Notamacropus eugenii: one gene and its partner. The protein of the gene in region 1 interacts with the protein of each later gene in a pairwise test. Links are inferred from orthologs where the notes say so. Each region holds a gene or a part of one and is shown in the gene's direction. Other genes may lie near its edges.

Region 1 (7,792 bases):
CTACTTTTTAATATGGTAAGATAGATTTCTACACCCAACTGAATGCATGTATTATTCCTTCTTTGAGCCAATTCCAATTAGAGTAAGGTTCATGTGCTCACCTTCTTACTTCCCCCTCCACTGTAAAATCTCTTTCAGGCAAGCTTGTACCTTCTTTTGCATTTGGCCAGTTCTACTTTTTAAGGAGTTCTCTTCGATGAATTTTTGTATATCTTTTGCCACTTGGCCAATTCTGCTTTTAAAGCATTCTTTTCTTCATTGGATTTTTGTGCCTCTTTTACCATTTGACTTATTCTGTTTTTTAAAGAATTATTTCCTTCAGTATTTTTTTGTGCCTCCTTTACCAAACTATGGACTCCTTTTTCATGATTTTCTTCCATTATTCTCATTTCTCTTCCTAATTTTATCTCTACCTCTCTTGCTTGATTTTTAAAATCCTTTTTGAGTTCTTCCCATGACCTGAGAGCAATTTGTATTCTCCTTTGAGGCTTTGAATGAAGGAATTTTGACTTTGTTGTCTTCTTCTAAGTGTGTGTTTTGATCTCCCTTGTCACCATAACCACTTTCTGTGGTCAGAATTTTTTTTGTTGTTTGCTCATTTTCCAACTTATTTCTTGACTTTTAACTCTGTGTTAAAATGGGGCTCTGCTTCCCAAGTGGAGAGAGTGCTGTTTCAAGTTTGACGTTTATTTGTGCAGCTGTTTTCAGAGGTAATTCTGGGAACCTGTAAGTTTGGGGCTCTTCCAAGGTGGTATGATCTAATGAGAAGTGTGTTAACTACTCTCCTGGCCTGTGCACTGGTCTGAGAGGGACCACAAGCACTGTTTTCAACCCTGAAACTGTGACCAATGTTCCTGCTCCCCTGTGGCCACAAGCTCTTCTGTGCTAGTGCTCCTCCTCACACTGGGACTAAGACCCAGGACTGCAACACAGAACCAAGTATGGGCAAAGCAACAGAATCTAGTCTCAGTACCAGCAAAGAGACCCTTGTAATCTCCTTCTGACCAGTTGTTTGACCCCCTTACCATCTGTGGGCTGAGAGTTTTGGAAACCACCACTACTGCCACTGATTCAGTCACCCTGAGGCCTGTTCTGGGTTTGCTGGGACCTGGTCTGCACCAGTATGGCCTGTACCGAACTGTGCTTCTCTCTCATTCTGGTACAACAGACCTTCCTGCCAACCTTTTAAGTTGTCTTGGGCTAAAAAATTTTCACTCCATCTTTTTGTGGGTTCTGCCCCTCTAGAATTTGTTTAGACTCACTATTTAAAGGTATTTGCAGGGATTTGGGGGAGAGCTCAGGTCAGTTCCCGCCTTTACTCTGCCATCTTGTCTCTGCCTCCACCATTGTCTATTTTAAGATATATTCTATGAACCTATGGTTGTACATGTGTAAACAAGCCTGACTTTTATGAGTTTCTCACACCCTTAGTGAGCTGCCCCTTGACAACTTCTTGCCTGGTCCTGTCTTGCAAGGCACCTAGAAGTCACAGAAGGGCACAAAACATCCTGGTATGACTACCCCAAAGACAGATGAAGTCAAGCCTGGTGACTGACCAGCAAATAAGGAAAAATGATAAGCTAAGAGTCGAGCTGACTGCAAGGTCAAACATTATCTTCTCAGTAAGAAACAATCCTCTTTCTTTTTGGAACATCCCCCTGCATTCTCCTCTGTATTCAAGGCTGAAGTATATATAGTTTGTTCATGGGATCATAGGATGTCAGAGTGATACAAGACCTTAGGGCTCCTATCCCTCTGATTTGCAAATGAGAAAACCAAGGCTCAGAGAGATTAGTTAACTTTTCCAAGGTCACATAGATCATGGAAAGTCATGGAATTTGGAGGTTTCAGAAACTTTCTAGTCTGATCACTTCATTTTGCAGATGAGGAAACCGAGGAACAGAGAAATAAACTTGTCCAGTGTCACTCAGATAATGAACTGGCATTCAAACCTAAGACCTCTTACTCCAAATTCAGGGCTCACTATTACCCAGTGGGATATAATGCCCTTGGAGGCAAGAATTGTTTTGTTACCCTTGTAATCTTTACAATGCATGGTCATTGAATGGAATTATGACAGGTATTTATGAATGTCCCTGGTTTATCCATATACATACGCATACTCCTGCATGCACACACACATATACACATTTATATACATACATATATAATATATATATAAATCTGTGTATATTATACATATAGTCTGAGCTCCTTAAAAGCTGTCACTGTTGTTTTTCATCTTTGTAACTCCATTGCTGAGTACAGGAAACTATCTTTACTATTTATTGGAGGGGCCTAATCAGTGCTTATTAAATGGAATCAAATTGATTTTCTGACTTTCCCCTACTCCTCAACCCCAAAGTTTCACCTTGAGATCTGTGAAAACTGGGGGTGAATGTGAGTATCAGTGATAGCCAGGCTCTTGTCACTACTGCCAGAAAGCCCTGAAGCTTGAAGGGTCAGGGCAGTCTTGTTTCTTAGTCACTAGGGAAATCGGCATTTCTCTGGCTCTTTGAGCATTTCCTGTTCCCATTTCTGTTATATAAACATATTTATTCAAGCAAAGATCGTTGTTGCACTTTTGATCATACTAATTTAATGATCACTTTTTCTTCTTTTAGGTTATTTTTTTTTTAGACTCAGCAAAGTTCCTTTCTGAGTCTCTGGGTTGATACTGGCTAACCTATGGTTGATTTATGGAGGCCAATGTCTTAGATGATAGAAGGTGTCATCTCTAGGTCTGCATGCCCTTTCTGGTTTCAGGATAGGTTTAAGAGTCCTCCATGCTGCACCCAAATTCACTCATAAGGAAATAGGAGCTAGACCAATGATTTCTTTGATAAAGGAAATTTCTAGGTGAGGAAATTCCCTCTACGCATTCAGATCTGTACCTTTGCTGAAAATTAAAAGTAGTAGTCTTACAGAGCTGCCGAGAACATTGAGAGGTTCAGTTGTTCACGGTCCCGTAGCTAGTGTGTGTCTTCCAGGCTCCAAGGCTACTTCTACATTTACATACACATACATATAATGTGTCTGACATAAAACATGTATGTGTATATGCACATACAAACATATGGAGAGAACACTTTAGGCTTACAAAGGACTTTTTCACAACAGCCCTACGAGGTAGGTCAGATGGTACATTATATTAGCCCCATTTTAGATATGAAGTCACTGAGGTTTAGAGAATGGCAATGAGTTATATCACATAGTAAAGAATTGAGAGTTCCATCTAGGTCTCTTCTAACTAAGTCCAACTCTCCTTTTGAGACTGAGGAAACTCTATGAGAAGTTGTTCCCTTGCAACCACATTTGGCAGTTGGGAGTTGGAGGGTGAGTTAAGGCTTTGTTCCTGGAGACATTTCAGAGCATCTCCCTGAAGGGAAACAGAGACTCAGGAATGTCATTAACTCATTGTTAGGGAGGTTGTCCCCTAGCAGGGTGAATGGGGCAGGAGCTCACCTGGGAGACCCAGTTGGAAAGAGAATAGTGGTTATTCAATTGTGACCCCTCTTGGTAGAGATACTGGAGGGGGTTGCCATTTCCTTCTCCAGCTCATTTTACAGATGAAGAAACTCAGGCAAAGAGGGTGAAGTGACTTGCACAGGGTCACAAAGCTAGTAAGTGTCTGAGGCCAGATTTGAACTCAGAAAGATGAGTCTTCCAAACTCTAGGTCAAGGAATCTATCCATTGTGCCATCTAGCTGTCCCTAGGCCATATAGCATCAAGCCTCTATTTACAAGACCTCTATTCATCCACTTTCCTTCAAACTATTGTAAGAGTCTCCTAGGGAATCAGGCCCTTCTCAAGTCTCTCCCCACCCAAAGCCATCCTCTGCTCAACAGCCAAGGTGAATGTAAGTCTGGCCATGCCACTCCCCTACTCACTTAACTGCATTGACTCTCTGTTATCCCTAGGATCAAATAATCGATTATCTTTTGGGCATCTCTATACTCCACAACATGGCCCCTTTCCAGCCTTGCTGTACATCAGTCCCCTTCCCACACTCCATCATCCTGCCTAGCTAGTCTTTCTGCTACTCCACACCCACAATTCTGTACCTGTCTCTGTGTCTATACTGTAGCCATGCCCCCTTCCTGGAGTGCCCTCTGCTTGCCTCTACCTCTTAAAACAGAACTCAAGCACCTGCAGCTAGCCTTTCACAGTCTGCCCAGTTACTAGTGCCTCTCTCCCCAAAAACTTTGCAGTTAATTTAGATATGGTATGTTTGTGCTTAAATGGAAATGTAGATATAAGTAAATATAAATTAACTTAAATATAGGGGTCCACTATGAGCATATGCTATCTCCTCTAGCAGAATGTAAGTTCCCTGAGAAGTCAGGCCTATTCCATTTTGGTCTTTACATCCTAGCAAAGTTCCCAGTTCTGGTCCTGGATATGATATGTACTTAAATTTTTATTGATTGGTTGTTATGGCCAGCGAGTGACCCAAAGGGCTTTCAGTGCTGGTTCTCCAGACTCCAAACAAAGGCTGCCTGGAATGACAGCTCTAGATACCAGCGGCATCTCAGATGGAACTCTTTCCACTCAGTAAACCTGGGACTTCTCTGGCTAATATCAGGCTTCTGTTCACCTGGGGAGGCTGAATGACAACTCACTCGGCCACAGGCTAGGAGCCTGAGAAAGGCCCAGAGGAACCCAGGACCCATGGCTGGGAACAGGGAGGAGCAAACCGGTGACCTCCAAACCACATCTGCTGACTCATTTACCCAGTATAAAGACAGCAGCCCACGGGCAGTGCTGAAGGCCATAGGCTGACACCACACCGCAGAAAATGGCCCAGAAGAGGCTCGTCCGGGTGTCGCTAGATCGACCCACCTATGCTGTGTGTGTGCTGGGCACCGAGACGGTGGTGGACCTGCATGGGTAAGGAGGAGGGAGCTCTCTCTGCTGTTTCAGGTGGGTGGGTAGCTCTGACTATCTGATAAGTGTGGCAGAAGCTTTCTTCCAGTAAATGCTGTCAGCTTAGCAGTTAATGAAGCTAATAATCTCTGAGCAGTCCTGAGAAGGGTATAATTACTCGCTGGAGAAAAGCAGAAGCACAGGACACCGACCATGCCATGCTAGAGCTGGAAAGAAGGATGAGAGAGGGTCCTTAGAACCCAGAATGTGAGAACTGGGAGGGCCCTTAGAACACAGAATGTCAGAGCTGGGAGGGCTCTTAGAACACAGAGTGTCACAGTGGGGAGGGCCCTTAGAACACAGTGTCACAGCTGGGAGCGCCCTTAGAACACAGTGTCACAGCTGGGAGGGCCCTTAGGGAGCATTAGTTCAGTCCTCTCATTTCATAGATGCAGACATTATGGACACTTTAGGCTGTTTCGTCTCTTGTATGGAACTCTCCTAGCCCGTGGCCCCAACCTCTCCTCTGCATTAACACCACTGTCCCTTGTCTCCCGTTGTCTGTTCAGTCCTTCCTGCTATTAGACAACAAGCTCCTTTTTAATTCCTGAGCTGAGCACATGTACACACTTTTGCTGATTTCTGTTGAATAGAATCACAGAATCTCACAGTTCATTCAGTCCAGCCTCAGGGCTGATCTGGGAATGTCCTCTCTCCCATTCCCTACAAGCTATATTTCTGCCTCTTCTTGGATACCACCAGTGACGAGGAGCTCAGTGACTTATGTATGTTAGCCCACTCCAGTTAGTACAACCCCAATTATTAGGATTGCTTTGATTGAGCTGAAATCTGTCTAGCTTACATGCTGTGGCTGGAATCTGGCATTGGACTGATAACCAGGCTTCCCCAGCCCCGCAACAGACACAAACACCAGCCCCCAGACAGTTGCTTGAGATCTCCTTGAGTCTTCCTTGAGAATGGTGTTTACCCCATAAGGGGAAAATAATTGCCTTGAGTTTGAAGTCCCAAGGGGAAGACTTAAAGGAGAAGTGGCAAGTAAAGCTAGGGACCAAATGAATTTGTGATTTCATAAATATAGAAACCTTCTGGGTGAAGAAACTCCTCCTACCAAAATAAGTCAGCCTTTTCTTTGCAACTTCAGGTCTCAGAGCTGCCCAAAGTGTTGAGAGGCTACATCAGTTGTCTAGGGTCACATAGACATTATGTGCCAAAAGCAGGATCTGTACCCAGGTCTTCCTGGCTCCAAGGCCAGCTTTCCATCCAACATGACACATTGACTCTTTGAAAAGAGAAGGTGGTAGAGGCAGCTGGGTAGCCCACTGGATAGAGCACTCGGCCTGAAATCAGGAGGACATCATCTCAAATCCAGCCTCAGATACTTACTAGCAGTGTGACCCTGGGCAAATCCCTTAATCCCAATTGCCTCCAAAAAAGAAGAAAAGAAACTAATTGGAGATGAGATCCTTTAAAATAAGCTAATGATTTTAAGTAAGACTTGACTAGCAACTCATTCATTCATTTCAACAAACAATTAAAAACTATTCCCTACATAAAAATCCTGGACTTGTTGCCAGTGGACAAAAACAAAATAGTCCTGGTTCCTGCCCTCAAGGGGTCTCATAGTAGTAGCAGTAGGGGTTGCAGGAATTATTTCTATTCAAATAGCTCTTTAAACACGAACACAGATGAATGTGATGTAAACTGGCCAATGACAAATGTGTCAGGGAGACGTGCAGTGAGATCCAGTGACTTCCTGGAGGAGATGGCAGTGGAACTGAGCTTCCACAAAGGAGTAGAAATTTGGAAGGGGGTCTAAGGCTCATCTGGGCTCCACATAGACCTGCTTTCTCTGTTGTTTTGTGACCCTATTTGGGGTTCTCTTGGCAGAGATACTCGAGTAGTTTGCCATTTCCATCTCCAGCTCATTTTACAGATGAGGAAACTGTGGCAGGCACACGTTAAGTGATTTGCCCAGGGACACACAGCTAGTAAGTGTCAGAGGCTAGATTTGAATTCAGATCTTCCTGATTCCAGGTCCAGTGCTCTATCCACTGAGTATAGTGCTCCTAGGTGCTCCTTAATTAATATGAATGATATTAATTATATCTCATGGCTAGCACCGGCAGTAGTAACCCTAGCAAGGAATCAGGCTAAGGTTCCATCCCCTTTCTTTTTGGCAGGGGAAGGTCAATGATAATGATTGCCAACAGATCTCCCAAAAGAAAGAGGTGACACAGCAGGCCCACTGGTCACCTTGGATACCCACGCCACAGTTGCCTATCCCTGTCCCAGAGTTTAGCCCAAGAAGTTTGCCAATCCCCAGAGTAACTCTTACAATGTGACCCAGGACAGATGAGGAAACTGAGGCCCAGGGAAATGAAGCGGTTTGCCTTTCATCTGAGGTATAAACACCAAAGGCAGGATTTGAACCCAGGTTCTTTGATTCCCAAGTCAATGTGCTTTTCACAGACAAGTACTGTCAACCAGACTGGAAACAGCCTCTAACCTGTGGGTGGCCAGAGCCAAACAAACAGGGCAGACTAGAGACAGGAAAGTCAGGACACAAACAGAAGTTTAATTAATTTCAGAGGGAGGAAAATGACATTTGCAAATAGAAGCCCCCCCCCCAAAAGGAGGAGGCCACTTATTTACATAAAAAGGGTTGGCCCATAGCAAAGTCATTCCTAGATCTTGAGATATTTCTCATGGTTGCATTCCTTGGAACAACACAGGTGTTCTTGGGTCCTGTGGGAACATTCATTGTCTCAAGTCTTGGAGGTCATAGGTATCCTTCAGGGTAAAGAACCAGAGTTCCGTGGTGGGATCAGGAGTGCAGTACCTGGCAGTGACAAGGAACAGGGGCTGTGAACATGGGATGGATGGTCACCCTGGGAAATCGGGGGA
Region 2 (7,607 bases), on another chromosome or scaffold:
CTGTAGAGCTATTGTGAAGTTTTCAGTATGAGCATTTACACCTCAGAAACTGCCAGACCCACAGGTCAGGGCCTGATCTACTCTTCTGTTAATTGTCACCAGAAGGGCAACACTCCAGCCTTTGTAGAATCAAGTTAAAATGTAACTGAGAAATGCTTAACAAAATAAATTTTAAAATACAATGCAACATATTATTAATGCTATTGTTTAATAGTATCTGAGTTTTTATGACCCTGTGGACCATGCAGTTTTCTTGGCAAGGATATTAGAGTGGTTTGCCTTTTCCTTCTCCAGTGGTTTAAGGCAAATGGAGGTTGAGTGACTTGCCCAGGGTAACACAGCTAGTAAATATCTGAGGTCACATTTGAACTCAGGTCGTCCTCACTCCAGGCCAAGTGCTCCACAATGCAACATAATGTTAACTGGTGTTTTTCTGAGTCAACCACAGTCAATCACAATTCATTTCTATTTAAATTTGACACTACTAGTCTAGATCAGAGGGGTCAAATATGCCCTTCAGCACTCCTTAGCGCAGGGAGAACTAAATTAAAATGCACTGGGAAATATTTAACAAAACAAATAAAAACACAACAGAACACAGATAATGCTAATATGTGGTTCTCAAGTCAGAGGGCAGCAGGGATCCTTTGCAGTTATCTATTTGAGTTAGACACTGCTTAACTAGACTTCGGAAAGTGATGGAGAAATGTGAATAAGGCAGATAAAGTTTAAAATATATCATTTGTACATTTTGGGGGGAGGACAAGTTGTTAAATATTTACCAGTACACCACTAACTTTAGGCAACCTGGTGCTCCCCACCCCCAACTCCAGAGGCTTATCATATTAATGCTGAATTTAGCACGGACTGATCTGCATAGTCCACAGAAACTCAAGAGATTCACCACTCTCAGTCTTCAGATGGCTGGGATTACAGGAGTATACCACTATACTCAGCCAGGGATTATTAACCTTTCCTGTGTCGCAGATGCTTTGGGCAGTCTTTTCTCAAAATATTTTTGAATATATAAAATAAAATACACAGGATCACAAAAGAAGCAATTATATTGAAATACAGTTATTAAAAATTTTTTTATTGAGCCCGAGGTTAAAAACCCCTCTAACCCTCTTATTTTATAGAGGAAGAAAGCTGATGTCCACTGAAGTTAAGTGGTAATCATCAGATGTATGGATTTGAACTCAGATCTTCTGACTTCAGAGGCAGTGCTACTCCTTCTTTAAAATTTTTTTCAATTACGTGCAAAATTAATTTTAAACGTACATTTTAAAAAATTGAATTCCAAAGGCAGTGCTATTTTAAATCTCAATGAGTGCCAAATTCATGAACCCTTCCTTTATTCTACCCTCCTGTCCTCCTCCTCTATAAGTGGGGAGATCAGGATTAGTAGATCAATTTAAATAGCTTCTTTACAATTTTGCTATCTGATAGTTTCTTTGCATATTTTAATAAATCACGTAGTAGCTAAAAAGTCAGTTGTCTGGATCTCAGTTGGTCAACAAGAACAGATTTCCCAAATTCCCTCAACAGGAGTAATTAGAGGTTTCCAACAATCTTAATATTTTAGAACTACTGTATATTTCATGTTCATACATGTAGATCTATATTGAATTGGGGGCAAATTGCCCAAAGAAACTTGGTGTGGTGGGAGTGGGTTGTGGTCTGAAAATTTATGAACAATTGCCATATAGGATACTTTTACCTTTGGAAAAACTAGCCCATGTTCACTAAATACCTACTGATAAAACCACTAGGTGGGTGGCTTGATGGTATTGCCACCTGGTGGTCAAAATATATATTTCCCAGTTACTCAAATAATTAAGGGGTATCCACTTTTGTTTAACTTGTGGAAAGCTGTGTTATAAGCCCATCATGGATGGCTGTTTCAAAGAGGAAACCAAAGACACCTACCAAGGCATACCTAAGCCACATCAATTATCACATGTGATTCTGCAGCTAATCAAAGATATAGAATTTATAGCTAGAAGAAGCCCTAGAGATTATTTAGTCCAATCCCTTCATTTTACAGATAAGGAAATCAATTAATTAATGAGCAAGTATTTATGAAGTATCTGTTTCAGGCACTCTCTTGTTCACTGGGGATTCAAAAACAAAAAATGAAATAGTCCTTGTCCTCAAGAAGTTTATATTCTATAAGAGAGACAATCAGTACATAATTAAGACATTAAAAAAGTATACACAGAATAAATACTAGGTAAAATGTGTGTGTGTGTGTGTGTGTGTGTGTGTGTGTGTGTGTGTGTGTGTGTGTGTGTGTGTGTGTAGAGGACACTAGTGACTGGAGAATGAGGAAAGGTTTCACGTAGAAGGTGGTCTTTGAGCAGTTCTAAAGCAAACAAGAAATTCAAAGAGGAGAAGGTAAAGAGAGAGGAAATACCTGGACCACACTCAAGAAAAGATATGAAGATGGAAGATGGAATGTCACATATGAAGAACTGCACGATTAGTTTGGCCACATCATAGTAAGTACTGCCCTGTTATAATAATTAGTTTGTTTTAAACCTGGAGTGATCCAATTTAGGTTCCTAAGGTCCAGGAGTTTTCTTCTCCAACAATAGGGAATTGATTTTAGATGAAAAGTTCTGAGTTCCATCACAATAACTCTGAGCCCCCAGTTTGGAAAACTCCTAATATATTAACCAAAGTTTACGTTTATATCTTGCACAAGTTAACCCCCCAGCCTCTTTGAAGTTGACACAAAATTCAATTCACTAGAAACATTAGTGTAACAAAACGTAGATTATATTATAGTGAATGTGAGGCAGAGACTGGGAGGGGAAGTTGGGGAATGAGCCCAGTTTTTTCTTAGATCTTCTCCTAGCATAAGTCCTCTGCTCCCAAACTTTTCTAGAGCTGATGTTTCTCTTACATAGCATCCTTCTCTTTCACAGCTCATTCGCTCCTTAGGTGTATGCTGGAAGGCCAGCCTCTTGAATCTAGACCCTCAGAATCTTTTCTTCTGCATACTTAGCTTCTTCCTTTAAGCAAATTCCTTAGGACATGATCCTGTCTTTTAAAAAATGGCTTTGATTGAGGCAGGTAGGTACCTGCTCTGTTTAGGCCCTGTTCACACTCAATTCTAATTGTTTAAGTCAATAAAAAGTGTTCATACCTAACAAGGGATATTACTTAAAGTGAGTGGCATAATCTAATGGAGTCCACCATAGCAAATACATAATATAACCTTGGAAATGTAAGTTGTCACCAGGTTGTGAAGGTCTTTAAAAGTCAGACTAACATATTTTATTCTAGAGGTAATTATTTATTGAATGGGGGACTGTCATGGTCAGACCTTTACTTTAGGAAAATCAATTTCACAGCTGCATGTAGAACAGATTAGCAAGGGGAAAGAAATGAGGTAGGGAAGACAATTAGGAAGCCTTGCAACAGTCCAGACAAAAGGTGATGAGGGCATAAACTAGGGTTGTGGCCCTGTGTCTAGAGAAAAAAAGACATGTCAAAAATGTAAGGGAGAAATGACAATATTTGGCATCAACTTGAAAGAATAAATGAATAAAAGACATTCAATAATCATATTAGCGAAAATTTAACAGTCAGCTCACAGGGGCTCTCAGGCTGGTTCTGGCATACCCCTCTGCGTCTGCCACTGTGCTAAGTGATGAGAATACCAGTATAAGCAAGTAAATAGTCCTTGACCTGAAGGAGTGAACAGTCTAATAAGGTAAGGCAACACATAAAGGGGAGCTGAAAGGATGCAGGGGATTAGACTAGTAGGAAACTGACTGAAAAGTAATAGGAAGTCTGATTCTGGGCAAGGAAGGGTAAGAGCTGACCTATTGGGGTCCAAGGTCCCAGGGGCAGAGTTCTGGTTACAGTGGGAAGGGAATGAGGAGGATAACCAAAATGAAAACGGCATAGTTTTGAACTGGATGTGTGAATATACATGTGGGGTGAAGAGAAACTAAAGCTCCAGGATAATGTCAATGTACAACACTGGTGACTGGATGGTGAGTGATACCTATAACAGAAAGAGCGAAGATGAGAGAGGAGTAGCCTAGAGAGGTGATGTAATTTCCCCAAGGACACACAAGTAGGGAAGACTTTCACATAATATGTGCTTTACACATATCTATATGTAGTTTCTGTTAAGTAGCAGAGCCAGAATTGGAAGTCAGATATTCTGAATCCAAGACCAAGTATTTTCTCAATCACCTTGCTTCCAATTTCTATTTCCTTCTGCCCCCACCTTTACTACTATATACGGTTCCACAATAAATTCAGTCATCTCATACACCCACACCTAAATGATGAATGGGCAACCTCTATCCAGAATTTAACTCATAATTAAAACAAAAATGACCCCAAGCACAAGTGTTTCCTGATAATATCAGCCAAAGGAGAGCAGGGTAAAAACGGACTTCTTATAGTTGACAGGCTAAAAAATGTCCCTATACCATCACAATTCATGAGAAGTAAGGTGGGTGAAAAGCAGGTGGAAGAGAGTGGTGGGGAGGTAGAGAGGATTCTAGGAAAATGAAAGTCCTCACCTTTTTACTGGTTAAGAAGCTCTGAATTGTACAGGTGGTTGCCTTGGAAACATTGTTCTGTTTACAATGCCATCTTCATTTGTCCTGTTACAGTGATGCTAGGAAACCACTGGGTGAAGGTAACTCAGGATCGGGAGAGGATGGGAGGAAATGATAACCACTCTCAGTAGGTATAGGGGTGCTGAAAAAGGTTCTTTGGGACTTGACTGTTTTAATTAGGAGAATTTCTTCCTAAGAGTTAGAGTTTAAGGGTAGTCTACCATCATTATGTCAGTCTACCACCATCATGGAATTGCAGCAGGTATTAAGAGATGTAAATGGAAGAAAAGGTCTGATTTTTTTCTTCCCCCTCTTCTTCCAAATCCACTGAGCAATGGAAACTGTAGAGTCTCTCGGAGCTTTTCAGACTGGCTTTGTCTGGCTCCATTTTTTCTGTGGCCCTCACCTCTCTCACAACTTGACTGGCAGCAGCTGACAGCATAATTAAGGTTGCAGAACATAATGAGGAGGAGGACAGGTAGTCAACCATTTCAACAAGAGTGTAAAGGGTAAAGAAGTAAAAGTTATTTAGATTTAGAAAAAAAAAATCTGGAGTTCTTAGTAGAGAAGGATTAGGAATGTCTTGGCCAGGACCCTGATAAGTGAGTGCAGAAAAAATTCAAGGAGAGGTAGCTTCCAACAATTCTATTGCCGTGCCTCTAGCTAATCTCCAGCAATATCCTCACCAGACTCAGCCTCTACACAAGCCACCAAGGAAGAAACCAGGGTAGAAAAAAACTGCTAATCTTGAGGGAGAATAAAGATAATGAAGTTTTGTTTTTTTTTTTTAAATAAATTCAGGGTAGCTAGGTATACAGTGGACAGAGAACTGGCCCTGGAGTCAGGAAGATCTGAGGTCAAATCCAGCCTCAGACACTTACTATCTGTGTGAACCTGGGCAAATCACTTAACACAGATTGCCTTCTTCCTCCCACCCCCCCAAAAAATAAGGTTGACAACCTATTACCTTTAGTTAAGAAGTGTCCTAGATGTATTGCCTTAACTAGTAATATTAGAGCAGATATTCTTTGATTTTTGAATGTTTGGAGATGATCAATTTTGCTTTCATTGTTTTATTTTGTGAATTAAAAAAAAATTTGACTGGCTTTTTAAATGATGGTTTTTTAAAGTGTGGTACAACAGAAAAGAACATTGAGTTTGGAACCAGAAGACATGGGATTCATTCCCTAGCTCTGCCACTTAGTACCTGTATGACCAAGTTTTATAAACTCTCTGGCCTCAGTTTCTCAATCTGAAAAATGAATGGATTATACTAAATAATTCTATCTAGTATAATCTTTGAGGTCCTTTGCAACTCTAAATCTATGAAACTGTGAAAGAAAAACTTTTGAGGACTGGATGTCCTTGTCAGACCACAGTTGGAATTGTCTGTGATAACATAAGATCATAGATCATAGCTAAAAGAATCTGTAGAAAGTTATCTAGTTCAATCCCTTCATTTTCCAGATGAAAAAATTGACGGCCAGAATGTTAAGTGACTTGCCCAAGGTCACACATGTATGAAAAGGCTGAGGCAAGATATGAATCTAGGTTGCCTGACTCCAAAGTCTACATTCTCTGGGTGCCATCATATATTTTAAGAGGCATATACAAAAAACCCCAAAACACACAAAAGCATATGCAAGATGGAATATGTCTCAAGAAGCATGACCAGGATGACAAAAGACTGTATATCATTCCATAAAAGGATTAGTTGAAGGAACTGGGTCAGAATTTTAACTAGGGTAGAGTGACTAAAACTAGGCCCTTGAGCAGAGAAATTTAAAGGGTGATACCTGCAATTGACTACTTTCTGAAAGTAGAAATAACTGAGCTCAGTACCTAATTAGCAAGAATAATTAACTAAAATAAGGAGCTATCAGTGGCAGGCCTCCTCCCTTGATGACCATAACCCAGGTGAGTCCTTCGCCAGCATGTCTCTACTTCACTATCCCTTCCAGTGGTATTTGTTCTGCAGCAGTCTCCTAATGACCTGAAGTTGAACCTCTATCAAGGCTGGTGTCCTGGGTCTCTCTGTCTCCTTGTCTTTGGGTCTTTTTCTCCAAGGTCCAAGATTCCACTTAGGTCTCCATTACTCCCCAACCCTACCTCTACTATATTTGTATTAAGAAGGTTGTTTGAGGGTACCTCTCGGGCTGTCATCCAGGAAATATTTTGTAGTGCTTTTTCTGGGAAGTAGAATCAGCATTTGTGGCTCTAATACGGGATTTTTAACCTGGAGAGAGGGAAGGTTTTGGGAGAAGAGGGGGGTGGAAGAGATGAGTACTATTGTCATCTTTAAGTATTTGAAAGAACCTCATGTGAAAAAGAGATTTTTTTGTTTGATCTTAGAAAACCAGCACTAGGTAGAATTTCTTCTTCTTCTTCTTCTTCTTCTTCTTCTTCTTCTTCTTCTTCTTCTTCTTCTTTTTTTTTTAATACATTTATTTATTTATTTTTAGTTTTCAACATTCACTTCCACAAGTTTTAAATTTTCTCCACCTCTCCCCCTTATCCAAGATGGCATGCCATCTGATATAGGCCCTATATACACATTCTTACTAAACAGATTTTCACATTGTTATGTTGTATAAAGAATTAGAACAAATGGGAGAAACTATGAGAAAGGAAAACAAAACAAAAGAGAGCAAATAGTATGCTTCAATCTGCATTCAGACTCCATATTTCTTTCTCTGGATGTGAATGACATTTTCCAGACATCCCTCTAACTTGCTACAGTGTTAACTGCAGTGTTAACTTAGCTAATACAAACTAACAGCTTCTTGGAGCCACAGGTGAGGGTTGAGTGCTAGGTAGACCCCAAAGGAGGATAAGCAGCCCTGAAAAGGGCTCAGCAAAGTCTTCATACCAGAAGTGCCAATCTTCCTTGAACATCCTATATAACTCTTCTGTTGATGAATAGTGGCAGTGGACTAATCTCACCATTATCATCAGAACCTTCTGCTTGGGTGTTCCATCATATACTCTGCAAGTGGTTTCTGCCCTTCTGGAGTGGAACTG

What was found. The genes of interacting proteins can lie anywhere in the genome.
Region 2: the proteins of protein-arginine deiminase type-4-like (region 1) and ANXA4 interact in binary tests that used the Homo sapiens proteins (3 or more experiments, as listed by UniProt). The two-hybrid records come from large-scale screens. The link is inferred for Notamacropus eugenii from reciprocal best matches to the Homo sapiens genes PADI4 and ANXA4.

What each region holds. Positions count from the first base shown.
Region 1 is NC_092876.1:56,566,322-56,574,113, forward strand, and holds the start of protein-arginine deiminase type-4-like, read left to right. Parts: upstream 1-4,789; 5' UTR 4,790-4,799; coding exon 4,800-4,891; intron 4,892-7,792. UniProt on the Homo sapiens protein: Catalyzes the citrullination/deimination of arginine residues of proteins such as histones, thereby playing a key role in histone code and regulation of stem cell maintenance.
Region 2 is NC_092872.1:633,957,683-633,965,289, forward strand, and holds the start of ANXA4 (annexin A4), read left to right. Parts: upstream 1-4,607; 5' UTR 4,608-4,642; coding exon 4,643-4,666; exon of another isoform or gene 4,667-4,954; intron 4,955-7,607. UniProt on the Homo sapiens protein: Calcium/phospholipid-binding protein which promotes membrane fusion and is involved in exocytosis.